Ovis aries: one gene and its partner. The protein of the gene in region 1 purifies or fractionates together with the protein of each later gene. This does not show direct contact. Links are inferred from orthologs where the notes say so. Each region holds a gene or a part of one and is shown on either strand. Other genes may lie near its edges. The genes, in order: TWF1 and CAPZB.

Evidence for each region.
Region 2: the proteins of TWF1 (region 1) and CAPZB purify together in Homo sapiens (affinity purification with mass spectrometry; 3 studies listed by BioGRID and IntAct, with this or other methods). This does not show direct contact. The link is inferred for Ovis aries from reciprocal best matches to the Homo sapiens genes TWF1 and CAPZB.

What each region holds. Positions count from the first base shown.
Region 1 is NC_056056.1:142,935,607-142,942,390, reverse strand, and holds the start of TWF1 (twinfilin-1), read right to left. Parts: upstream 4,465-6,784; 5' UTR 4,427-4,464; coding exon 4,402-4,426; intron 2,584-4,401; coding exon 2,506-2,583; intron 319-2,505; coding exon 140-318; intron 1-139. UniProt on the Homo sapiens protein: Actin-binding protein involved in motile and morphological processes. Inhibits actin polymerization, likely by sequestering G-actin. By capping the barbed ends of filaments, it also regulates motility.
Region 2 is NC_056055.1:246,876,083-246,882,615, forward strand, and holds the start of CAPZB (F-actin-capping protein subunit beta), read left to right. Parts: upstream 1-2,077; 5' UTR 2,078-6,533. UniProt on the Homo sapiens protein: F-actin-capping proteins bind in a Ca(2+)-independent manner to the fast growing ends of actin filaments (barbed end) thereby blocking the exchange of subunits at these ends.

The DNA of each region.
Region 1 (6,784 bases):
GTCTCCAACTCTTTGAGACCCCAAGGACTATAGCCGACCAGGCTTCTCAGTCCATGGGATTTTCCAAACAAGAATACTGGAGTGGGTTGCCATTTCCTTCTCCATTTAATGTTAAACAAGTTACCAAAAAATTACTTACATGAGAATGATCAGGAGACCACGCAATGAATATCCATTCATATCCCTGGGCATTCTGAGAATCTAACCTGAATAATACATAGCACGGTTGTTTGTCCTCCAACAGGGGTAAAACAAAAGAATCATAATCCTGATCCCAGGAATCTGAAGGCTTCCTACACGACCCAATCACAAGTTTCTCTGTGAAGAACAATTTTTAAGACACATAAATGGTTTGAAATACCAAATGGTGGAATAATGAAGAATAGAAGAATAAATTAATATGTAATTATTAATTGCTCTATTCACATCAATATATGAAAAGGACCTTGGCTGTAACAATACAATATATAGGAATATATAATAAAATATTAGTATATACAAAAATATAATATAAAGTAGTATTAAAAAGTAAAAATTATGACCAGGACAGGTAAAATAATGTTATGAAAAACACAAGAAAGGAACATACAAAAATGATTATAAATAGCTGAGTTTGATGGTTGAAGAAACGGTAGTTATAGTCTATTTTCCAAATGTTTGTTATAAAGTATCAACAAAATGTATTTAAGCATCCAACCACTCAAAGGTGGAATTTCTGAAATTAACATTGAATTGCACGGTTAAGAAATACTAAATAAAAACAGGTTTAGCTCCTACTTGGCCATACTATTACAAATTTAAAAATCTGTCCACAAGCATAAATTGGTACAGTCACCTTGAGACATTATTGGGAGAATCAAGACTGTATTCTGCATAGAGAAACTCTTGCACATATATACAAAGGTATTCACTGCAGCACCATAAAATAACAGTGGAAACTGAAAATAGCCCACATGTTCATCAATAAGAGAAGGGACATAAAATACGTGGCAGTCATGATAAAATTCTATTCATATTTAAAAAGAATTAATGAGCCTCTATCAAAGGGGCTTCCCTGGTGGCTCAGAGGTTAAAGCGTCTGGGTCGGGAAGATCCCCTGGAGAAGGAAATGGCAATCCACTCCAGTATTCTTGCCTGGAGAATCCCATGGACGGAGAAGCCTAATACGTTACAGTCCATGGGATCGCAGAGAGTCGGACACGACTGAGCGACTTCACCTCACCTCAGCTCACCTCACCTCACCTCACCTCTATCAAAACTAATTATAAAAATATTTACAGAAAAAGGAATGGTGCAGAAAAAGACATCAGTTCATATGAACTTAAAAACTCAAAAACAGCACTACATGTTATTTAGGGATTGCACATGCAGAAAAAGTTCCTAATATAGTTTCCTCAGGAGAAGGTTGGAAAGTACAGTTGTTTAAACATCAAATTACAAAGGTTTGAAGCAAATTGAAAAAATGTTCGCAGTTATTAATTTAAGAAGGGATGGAAGTATTTGTCATTTATTCTTCATAATTTCCTTATTTAAAATTTTTTCTTAAAACAAAAAACAGGATAAGTGACAGACAAAATAGTGATTTTTCTGTTGTAGAGATGTGAGTTATACCAACTTTTCCCTTTTACTTACCTAACTAAGTCAATTAGAAAGTGATAACACTTAAAATTTTAGTTCAATAGTTCTAAAACAGGCTACTTTACAGTATATGTTTATTCTCATTGAGTGTGTTAACATATGTAGAACTGCATATTTTTCAAATTATTTTAGTATTTTTAACATATAAGAGAAACTGGAAACCAAATTAGATTTACTTCCAGTTTATGAAAGAACAAGATATTTTTCCAAAGCAAAATATTTCAAGGTAATTAAGAAATTAGGCCAATGGGATGTTTTAACATATTCATTTGAGATTAAGTAATTATAATTTAATTATTCACACTCAAACCAGCCAAATTAAAAGACTCTCCCACCCAATTAATTTCCCTGCTTTCAGCTTTATTTTGAAAGGCTCAATTTACAGTTTATTATATTCTCAGAACTGTTTCCCATAACAAGAAAAGGGAATCATTTCTCAGCAAACATTACAATCAAGTTGAGAAAACAGGCAGTTTAAAACCCTTTCCTTCTACTTCAAACTAACTTTATTGAAAAATAATTCACAAATAACTGTTTATTTTTCAGATAATCGCCTGTTACTGATTTTCATTCCAGAGATGCAAGCACTGACATTAGATACAGATTGCATTACAGAAACTGAGACTCAAAAAAGTGAAAGAGAAAGATGTCACACCAAAACCAACATCTTTTTGTTTCCCTGATAGTCAACTACAGAATTCAGAAGGTAAGCAAGGGCCTTTAGGAAATGCCCAAAATATAGAGGATACAGGTTAACTAAAGGCAAGCTTTCAACCGGCTTCACATTTATTAATAGTCCAAATCACTGACAATGACTTAGCTTTACATAACACCCAGTAATTCAAGAACAAAAAATGTTTAACTAACCATTTTCAATAGATATCTTCAGAAGTCTGTATTTTCCATTTCTTGCTCTGGCAAAGATATCTTTAACGTCTTCACTTGCTGTGCAAAAAGATACAGAAAAGTAATATTTATGCATTAATACTTTCTAATGCTACAATAACAATGCAATTGAATAAGGAAAACATGAAATATAATACAAAGAAAAAATCTTGAGTATGCAATATTTTCTTATTAAAAGTCATTTAAATTATAAAACTTAAAAGGTATACCAGACACTGAAAACGGCTTTTGCTGTTGTTGTTGTTCAGTTGCTAAGTCATGCATGTTCAACTCTTCTGTGATTCCCTGTACCGTAGCCCGCCAGGCACCATACCAGAGCGGGTTGCCATTCCCTTCTCCAGGGAATCTTTCCCAACCAGGGATCAAACCTGCATCTCCGGCACTGGCAGGTCGGTTCTTTACCACTGAGCCACCAGGGAAGCCCCATACACAGCTAAGAGACATAAGTATGTTTTAAAAGTATATTAATTCTAACCTGTCCTAGCTACATTAGAATTGGGAATGAATATATTAAAGTTTCTCAAACCCAATAATGAACAAATTACACATCTGAGAAATACCTTTACTGATTTTGAAAATGCTGAGAATCTGCTTTCATTCTCTTCTGGTCTAATTTCAAGTTTACGATAAATAAAAACACTCTCTTCATCAATTCATTTTATACATTTTCATATTTAAAGATGACAATAAACGTCAAATGCCCTATCCTGACTGAAGTCAATAAAATTCCTTCAAGTTTATACTTCTGGTCACACTTTTCTGACTAGTATTTCTCAAAAAGCTGGAGTAATCTCACTGAGCAAATGTATACTTAATAACCTACCCCTTGCGCTATGAAAACTTCAATTTCGTTCTGATTTTGTTCTTGGGGTGTATATTGACAGCAAGAACCACTTTTAATAGTGCTTGTTATTAGACTCAAGCATCAAAGTCAATAATTAGATATCCATGCATCAAAACTAACGCAAACAAAAGAGTGCTTTCAGATTCGAGACTATTTTGCTTTTCTTTGTGTGTGCAGGAGGAGGTATGGGGTGGTGTCAAAGACTTATGAACAAAACACAATTAGATGTTCATCTGGGGAAAAGATTCGTTGTCTATTAACAGGAAGATCTTGTGTTTATACTAGAACTCGTTAAGTGATCGCGAGTAACCCCGGGACATATTATTTGATTCTGATGAGGTGAGAGCTTTCAGACTGCCCATTCGCAAACCAGGAAATAACACAGGTCAATTAAAATTGCACATTCAACTGCCTGAATGGGATAATTATACGATGCCACACAGATCAGACTTTTCAGTTCCCCGTGGAGTACCTAAGAACGACCAAGACGCCTCCTACTTAGGATACATACAACGGTGCTGATGTTCCCATTTTGGAAGAAAGCGCGGAAGAGTTTGGGAAGCATTCTTAGTAGAAATGGAAAAGATTCCGCATCTTTCTTTTTATAATTCAAATAATATAACAACTCTTCTGGACCGTGAAAAAGAAAATTCGCCTGTCTCTTGACAATAAAAGGACCCCGATCGCCTTCACGTCTCCAAGTCTTCCCAACCGGTTAAAGTTGGGTTAAGGTCGGCTGCGGCTGCAGGCACGCCCCCTTCACCCCGGCCGCCGCCGGACCCACTTCCTTCGCTCCGGCGAATTTCGGGTCCGTCCGCAACGTGGCGGCGGCCGGGCCCGGGAAGGGAGGGAGGCAGGCCGAGAGCGCCCGGGACACGGGAGCGCAGAGAGACTCAGAGGCCCGGCTCGCCCCGACACACATTCCCAGTGCTTCGGGCCCGACTCCGGCCCCGCCCGGCCTGCCCGGGGCCTCCGGGGAGCCCCTTCCCCAAGGGCAGCGCCGGCGCCGTTACCTTGGATGCCGGTCTGGTGGGACATGGCGGCAGCCGCGAGCTCCCGGCTCCAGCGCTGAGTGCAGCGAGCGGCCCCGGCGGCTCCAGGAAGTGGCCGCTCCTCCGCCGGCCCCGGCGCGTCATCGGCCTGCGACCCACCGCCGCCCCGCCCCGCTAGGCCCCCGGCGTCCTCGCGCGCCCCCAGCGCTCCCGCCGCCTCTGGTCACCCGGACTGTCTCCCAGCTGCGGGACTGCCTCCCAGCTGCGGGACTGCAGGTCCACACCTTCGGCCCTCAACTCCAGCTACTCCAGCTTTCTGCCTAGGGTCACTGTCCCCGGTGTTTGCCGCCGCTTCTCCGGCTCCACCACCGTGAAGCACCACAGGGCTGGCAAGATAGCTTTCCCTTCTGGGGTCTGCCCTGCCAACGCCTTTCACTGGTTCAGCAAAAGGATGCTCAAAAACGGAAACGAACATTTTACTGAACACAAGTTTTCAGCTTTAAAAAGATGTGCAAGATATCCTTCTTGGTTTACTCTTCTGCTGTGTGTACAATTTAATGTAAAGGGTCCCGCTCCTCCCGATTTTTTAAAAAGGATAGGCAGTTTCCCATCAAAATTTGAAAGGCTTTTAAATTAATTTCAGACTTAAACCTTTTCTTTCTTTAGTTGGGCCCATTTAGAGACAAGGTTTTCCTTTCTCCTCATTCCAAAAAGAAACAGCCACTGAAAGTAAAATTAGCTGATTTGAGTACTCCTCTGTGGTCAGTTCCATCATTCCAAACTAACGCTGCTCTGCTTTCTATTGGTCCTTTAGTCTTAAATCAGGTAATTATTCAAGATTCATTTGTGAGGATAAAGTTGTAGCATATTATTAAAAACTATTTTCCATTCTGTGCTTTTATGAGCATGTGTTTCCATTTCTAAGGATAATTTATTTATTGTCTAAATTTCTGGCTGCACTGGGTCTTTGTTGCTGCCCATGGGCTTTCTCTAACTGTGTGTGTGTGTTGGGGGGGACCCTACGAGTAGCTTAGTTGGGGTGCACAGCCTTCTCATTGTGGTGGCTTCTCTTGCTGCGAAGCACAGGCTTTAAGGCGCATGGGCTTCAGTAGTTGCAGCATGCGTGCTCTAGGGTGCTCAGGCTCCAGTAGTTGTGGCTCGTGGGCTCTAGAGTGTGAGCTCAGTAGATGTGCTGTGCAGGCTATAGTTGCCCACAGTATGCAGAACCTTCCTGGACAGGGATCGAACCCCTTTCACCAGCATTGGCAGGCAGGTTCTTCTCCATTGAACCACCAGGGAAATCCCTCTAAGGATAATCTTGGTAGTTATTTTTGTACTACTTTTCTAGAACTCCTGGATTATAATTTTCTAGGTAGAAAGCTTGGTGTTTTGTTTTTAGGGCCTTGAACTGACAAGTATAAAAATGTACAATCTGATTATCAACAAATACTTTGTACAGACCAATAATTTAAGGACAAGTTAACAAAATCACTTTTGAAATGTGACATATTTTTAATTAGCAGGTAGGTAATTGCTTTTCTTAATGGGGTTCACAGCAAAAAAAAAAAAAAAGATTGCTGTTTTCTGTTCCTTGTTTTTTAGGCTCTATTTCTCAAACACATCTTCATATTTTGGAATAACCAAAATTTAATCTGAGCTTTATAACTTGTTTGGATTTAAGAGACGTAAGGAGGAGTTCCATTCTAACCAAATTCTTCCTGACACGACAGTTCACCCTGATTTACCAGTTTTCACAGCATTGTTGAGCACAGAGAGTGCCTCTGCAATTTGTTGACTGACTCATGTTCTGGTGAGTAGGGAAAATTGCTTAAGGAGGTTGACATTACTCAAATGTACAGATGAGAAAAATTAATTTTCCCATGTTGATCCTTAGAAAAGATCCCTGTATATTCAGCCCTGAAGAGGAGGAAAGTCCAGGTAGGTTGGATAAGACCACCACAGCATCTGCCAGATAATGCTTTTTTTTCTGCCAGTACAGTAGTTTGAGTTAAAACTGCAAGGGACTTGTCTGCATTGTTTATGAAACAACAAAATTCCTCTAGCAAAACAGGAAATCTGAGGAGGGAAGATGTTTGTTAAGATGTGAACAGCGTGGCCAAAATGTTTTGTTTTTTTAACTGTCCATCAGCATTTCTACATGTAGTCAGATAATTTCCTTAGCAAATGGATTCTTGATGCCTTCATTGGATGTTGTTTTATGAAAATGTTTCTGGTCAATATTGACAGTACACTTAAATTTCATAATTTGTTATGTCTGATGTTCATTTCAGGTTAGGTTATTGTACTAACTTTAGAAAAACGGTTTATTGAGTATGTAGAGTGCTAGTGGTTCTTGTATTTTACCTATTTAAGAGACTAGATTATGATAGAAATCTTGTTTGTT
Region 2 (6,533 bases), on another chromosome or scaffold:
TGCGTAGGTTTGTTTATAATTCACAGGCATGTTTATGTAGTAGACAGACATTTTCAATTATAATCTCCATGGAGATACATTTATATCATACATTTTTCATTTAGCGTAAGATTCTATATATAATATATATATAATTTTTAATGATTGAAAAATATTTTACTGGCTATAATCCCTATATATAATTCATATAGCCATCTACTGACTTGCATTTCTTTAGGATATTTTCAATTTTCTTCAGAGGGTTGCTGGGACAGATGTTCTAAGGCACATTAACTCCACCCCTCTGAATCTTTTTATTTTTGTGTAGCAGAAGGAGATTTAAATATAGACAGACCTGGATTTAAATCTCGGGCCTTCATCACTTAGTAGCTACCTAACCTCTGAGGAGATCCTTCATCCTTGAGCTTCAATTTTTTTCATCTATAAAATGGGAATAATAATATCTGCCTTTTTTGGTTGTCATCAGGTATTTGTAAATTTCCACCGACACTGTCTGGAACCAAGAAGAAGCTCATGAATTATAACACTATTATAAATATTTTAAAGTTATAACTATTTTTATGTTTCAAACTATTATCCTTATTGTTACCTTATTTATTTTTATTGTTTTGGCTGTGTGGCTTGTGGGACCTTAATTCCCGGAGCAGGGATTGAACCCGCAACCCCAGCATTGGGAGCACAGAGTCTTAACCACTGAGCTGCCAGGGACGTCCCTGTAAAATTATAATCAGTTTTAGAAAGTTGAGTTTCTAGTAGTGTTTCTAATCTGAGTACCTCTCAATTGCAAGAAATATCCTGATTTATGCTAATGAGTCTCATGGCCCATCCCACCTGATTGAACCAGAATCCCCATCAACTTAGATGCTGGGAGGCAGAGGAATCCTAAAGCTTAGAAATGGGGGCGGGGGGAACACCGAGGGAAGCGGCAGAATGGGTGGGAAGGTGAGGGCCGAGGAGGATTTGCCTTTCACCTACTAACGAACTAGGCTTCCCTGATAGCACAGCTGGTAAAAAGTCCACCTGCAACGCGGGAGACCCGGGTTCGATCGGTGGGTTGGGAAGATCCCCTGGAGAAGAGACAGGTTACCCACTCCAGGATTCTGGCCTGGAGAATTCCATGGACTGCATAGTCCACGGGGTTGCAAAGAATCGGACACGACTGAGCGACTTTCGCTTCCTAACCAACTGCACAAACTTCCCCTTTGGCTTGCTTCTCTCCACAGCTCTCCTTTTCCCACAGCGGTGGGTGGGGTGGCGCACTGAGAACGAGGAATGGCAAACGGAGGCGGAGGAGCAGAGAGGAGGGCGCGCAGGAGGCGACGCTGCCAGAGCCGGCTGCCCTGCGGCCACAGGCGAGGCGCTGTGCGCGGGGTTCTGTCCCTCTGGGGTGCTCTGGTCCTGCCTGAGCCTGTGTGAGCAAACTCCTAAGACCCTGTGAGCTGGGTTTTCCTTGTGGGTTAAAACAGGGATGATAGTAATAAAGTCCACATGAAATTGAGAAGCTCCAGTAATAAAGAAACCGCAGTGCTCAGCCTTCAAGCGTGAAGCGCCAGGTCCCGGGGGGTGGGGCGGGGCGGTTCACACCCATTCCCTTTTCCAGTGGACAAATGGTCCCCGAAGGCCGGCAACGTTATGTCCACTTTACAAGGAGTAAACCAGACCCCTGAGAGATGAGGGTTCGTGCTCAGCCCAGCGCACCTCCCTGCTTTGCACTCCGTAAAGCTCTGGATGGTCGTAATCTGTCGTGCTGACCCTCTGGAGTTCTTTCTTTTTTTTTTTTTGGCCATGCTGGGCAGCACGTGGGATCTTCTTTTCCCGACTGACTGAGGGAAGTTGAACCTACGCCCCCTGCTTTGAAAGCACAGAATCTTAACCACCAGACCGCCAGGGAAGTCCTGGGGCTCTTCTTAACGCGCTCCCTGGAGAGTTTTGCTGCAAAGGTCTTCTAGAGAGTTGCAGAGTACATTGAACAAACTGATTTGAAATATATATGTCGAGTGCCTACTGCGTGCTAGCCATCGTTATAGGGACTCAGCAGTGAACGCCATGGACAAATGGCCCTCAAAGAGCACTCCTTTTTGTGTGCAAGGCTGACCAAAACAGACAAGTAGGGACTTCCCGGCTGGTCTGGTGGTCGGGAGGGGGCAGGGTTCCATCCCTGTTCAGGGAGCTCCCACCAGCTCCATGGCACAGCCAAAAAAAAACCCACTCCACACAAACAAGTATATATTATGCCTTGTGATGCTAAGTTCTGGGAAGCAGAATAAAACAGGGAAGGGGGATTTTATATCCAATGGCCAGAGAAGGCTCTGTGATGACAGCTGTGTTCACCACTCAGATACTGAGGTCTACAAGAGCATCATCTCCATAAGAACAGAGCCCTGGGGTCTTTTTGGTCCCTGTAGCGCCGGTCCCCAGCAGAAGTTCGGCTTCTCAGGAGGTGCTGAATGAACATTGGTTGAACAAGTGAATAAACAAACAGCCATCATTTCAGAAACCTCCACATCAGGGTAGGCACGGGGTTTTGGATTCACGTGCCATCAGCTGACTCTTAGGGAGAACCTTTTGTGTGCCAGCCTCCACGACCACAGAACAGCCCTTTCCTCTGAAGATCTTCGCTAAGGATGAGGGTGGTGGCCGCGGTGTTTAGCCAGTAGGTCAGGACGGACTCTTTTGCAACCCCATGGACTGTAGCCCATCAGATTTCTCTGTCCATGGGATTTCCCGAGGCAAGAATACTGGAGTGGGTTCCATTTCCTTCTCCAGCGAATCTTCCAGATCCAGGGATCAAAACCCATGTCTCCTGCATTGGCAGGCAGGTTCTTTACCCGCTGAGCCCCGACGGAAGCCCCCCAAATACGAGTACATGCATGCTAAGTCGCTTCAGTCATGTCTGACTCTGCAACTCCATCATAACCCACCAGGCTCCTCTGTCCATGGGGATTCTCCTGGCAAGAACACTGGAGTGGGTTGCCATTTCCTTCTCCAGGGGGATCTTCCCGACCCAGGAATTGAACCCAGGTCTCTTAAGTCTCCTGCATTGGCAGGCGGGTTCTTTACCAATAGTGACACCACCTCGCAATCTAACAGCTGAGAAGAGAGCAAAGAGAACAAGGGAAGAACAAGGGGTTAAGTGCAAAGAGTAAGAGTTTCAGGGTCAGGAAGGAGTTCAGCAAGTGTATTGCCTGACTTTTTTCTTTTTTTTTTTTGATGCAAAAATAGCTAGTTCTGCTTTTTGGACTGAGGCTCGCTGAGTCAGGGGTTCAAAGAGAAGACCATGAGGGTGGGAGTGGCCGATGTCATCCACAGCAGATGGTGATGCCCCAGAGACAGGCTGTGTCCTCCACCCCCTCTGGCCCAGGAATCAAGGTCGGGGCAGACAGCTAAGCTCAGCTCCCTGGGGACCCCCTCTCTGCCTCTCTACCGGGCCAGCCCATCCCGAGAACATCACCCTTGTTCCACCCTTGGACTCCACATCAGGCTCAGGAGAGTCTCAGAGGCCAGGGGTGTGAGAGGAATCGTTCCAGCATCTGTTATGAACCGTTATTTCCATTCCTTTGGCCGAGTTTTCTCCCGAGCCCTGAAGGCACTAGGTCAGCGCTGCTTTCGGCCCAAATGTCTGATGTCCCAGGCCTTCCTTCAGCCTCACAAAAGAAGGGGATGATTATTAAAAGAACAGACGTTGCATTCCATATTTACCCCAGATGACACTGCCTTGATCCCTAAAATAACTCCAGACCTCCTGGATGGAACTTGCTCGTTCTTTTTCATCTTGCTCTTATGCAACTGTTTATGGAGAACATCACCATAGTGATATCAGAGCGGGTCAAGTGAAACGCCAACCCCTTGGGTGGTTATTGGTTTCCCTTTGTAACTTGAAACATGACTTTTTCACCCCAGATCTACTCTTTCATTTCTTCTAAGCACTTCAGTTCTCCGCTCCAAGTCAACAGCAGTACTTTCTGACAGATTCCCAGCAGTTAAAACCACAGAGGTGGTCCACACTGGGGTGGGCGATGGAAGTACTTGGGCTGAGTTTCCAAACTGGAAACTATATTTACCAGAAATCTTTCCTTCAGATAAAACTCGGGTCAAAGTCTCAGAGTGCTGAAAGAGGCACTAAATAAACGGAAAGTCTAAAGAACCTTCAGTGCTTGCTCCAAGGAACAAGACTACAGCGTTCAACAAATAAACACAGCTGGCGCGGGGACAGCCTTTAGCAAATACTTATCTTCTTGATTATTTATTTTTTTTCATAATCATCATCTTGGCCAACAGCCCTTATTATAGCATTCTCATACGCTGTTGGTGGGAGTGTGAATTTAGAAGACTTTTCTAATAGAAAACTTGGCAATGGGTAGGAAAAGCCTTGACAGGGTGCTCTTTCTGTGAAGCAAATGTCTATTCATGGGTTCTGAGAAAATCATTAGGAATGTGAGCAGAGAAATTCATACAAAGGTGTTCATTGCTAATAGTGGTGGAAGAATGGAAAAAATCAAACGATACAACACGAGGGGATTGCTTTAAAAGAATCACTATTTATCCATACGATAGATACTAAGCCAGAATTACAAATCACACTACAGGAGACTCTTTAATAACGTGTAATACATTCACGATGTGTTCTCAGATAGGAAAAAAGCAGGTAACAAAAATGTGCATGCAATATGATCCCATTTTTGCGAAACATGTATGCACATGGAAGGGAAAAAGGGTAGAAAGATAGGTTCTAAAAAGATGAGCCGTGATTATTCCTTGGGTAATTTTCTGGTTTGGGTGTTGTATCTATAATTTTTACAATAAGCATGTAATTCTGTAGTCAGATGTTTAAAAAGCTATTTTAAAGAAGAATAAGCTGCCATGCCTTTTAAAATCACCTCTGATGGACTTTATGGGCAGAAACAGACTCTTAGTCTAAGAACGTCCTTGTATAAATCTCATAAGATAGAAAGTGCTCAACCATCTCTTGTTGTGGTTGAAGATAATGAACTGTACGGTACCTGGGGCCAATAAATATTAAGCAACTATGGGTTTTCCGCCTATTTAGAGTTTACCATCAGAGATGTACAAGGCTGGGTCTTCCCTGGTGGTCCAGGGGCTAAGATTCCACACTCCCGATGCAGGAGGCCTTGGTTCAATCCCTGGTCAGGGAACTAAATCTCATACGCTGCAACTAAAGATCCTGCACGCCCCAACAAAGATCAAAGATCCTGCGTGCCACAACCAAGACCCAGTACAGCCAAACACATAAATATTTAAAAAGTATATACAAGGCTGGCATAACCACATATAAAACATACGATCAATGTAACAGGGCCGGCAAGTATGTTTTCAAAATACCATGAATCATTTCATATTCAGTAACAACAGTGAGGACTGTTGGGGGCCAGAGAAGGGATCGTGCATCAGATCAAATGGCACACGTGCCGCCAGCTTATTGCCTATCTTATCTAAATCTCATGACAATTGTATGTGGCATGTATCCTATGGACTTCCCGGGGGGCTCAGTGGTAAAGAATTTGCCTGCCAGTGCAGGAGACTCAGAAGACTTGGGGTCAATAAGATGCCCTAGAGTAGGAAGTGGTAACCCATGCCAGTATTCTTGCCTGAAGACTTCCATGGACTAGGAGCCTGGGGTTGCAAAGAGTCAGACACGACTGAGCATGCACGCCAAGCCCAATAACAACAGCACAAGGCATCACATACTCATTTTCCAGAAGTGGAAACCAGGATGTGGAGGTTAGGTCACCTTCTCTCTCACCACTGCAGGGAGAAAGAAGATGCAATTATTCAACAAGAAGAGGTGTGGAGCCCAGTTTATGACGGAAATGGTTGAGATAGGAAGGGAGGGTCAGAAGGAGAAGGAAGGGTCAGGTACCTCTATGGATGGTCCCCAAAATCTTTTACCAGACTGCTAAACATTTAGGTTGATCCTGCAGAAAATAATAATTTTAGTTGCCCTCCTCTGAGTACCTGGGGATGATGTTGATATAAAAATGCGGATCACAGGGTGTCATTAAAGCCAACCTCACTGGTTTGTGGAAAGTGGTAGATATGCTATAGGAATATGTAGCACAACTGTGCTGCGGAGCAAATTACACAGAAGCCTAGAGCCTGTCATCAGCAGGCTCATTGCTCGAAACACCTAAACACCTCTTTGTTCGGGGTTATGCGAAAAAAGGGGTGAAAAACGCATAGTACTAAAGCTTAAAACTGCAAGACAGAATCAGATCAGAACGAAAAAAGTGTAGGCTTTTTGGATCAATCAACTCTGTTCACATCCTGGCTCACCTTTCTGGAGTTATGGGACCTTTGCTCACCTTTACTGGCTCTACTTGAGGTATCCTGCGTAACACATTCATGGAAATCCTGCTTATAAATGTTATCATCCCAATCATTTCCTGCTATGTTGGAAGCTGTCGTGAGTAACTTTTTAGACCTTTATTAGTCAGGGGAGCGCTGGCTGCTGAAACAACCGTCAGTTCTTAGTGGCTTACGACGATAAACGTTTATTCTTTCCCTTTGACATAATC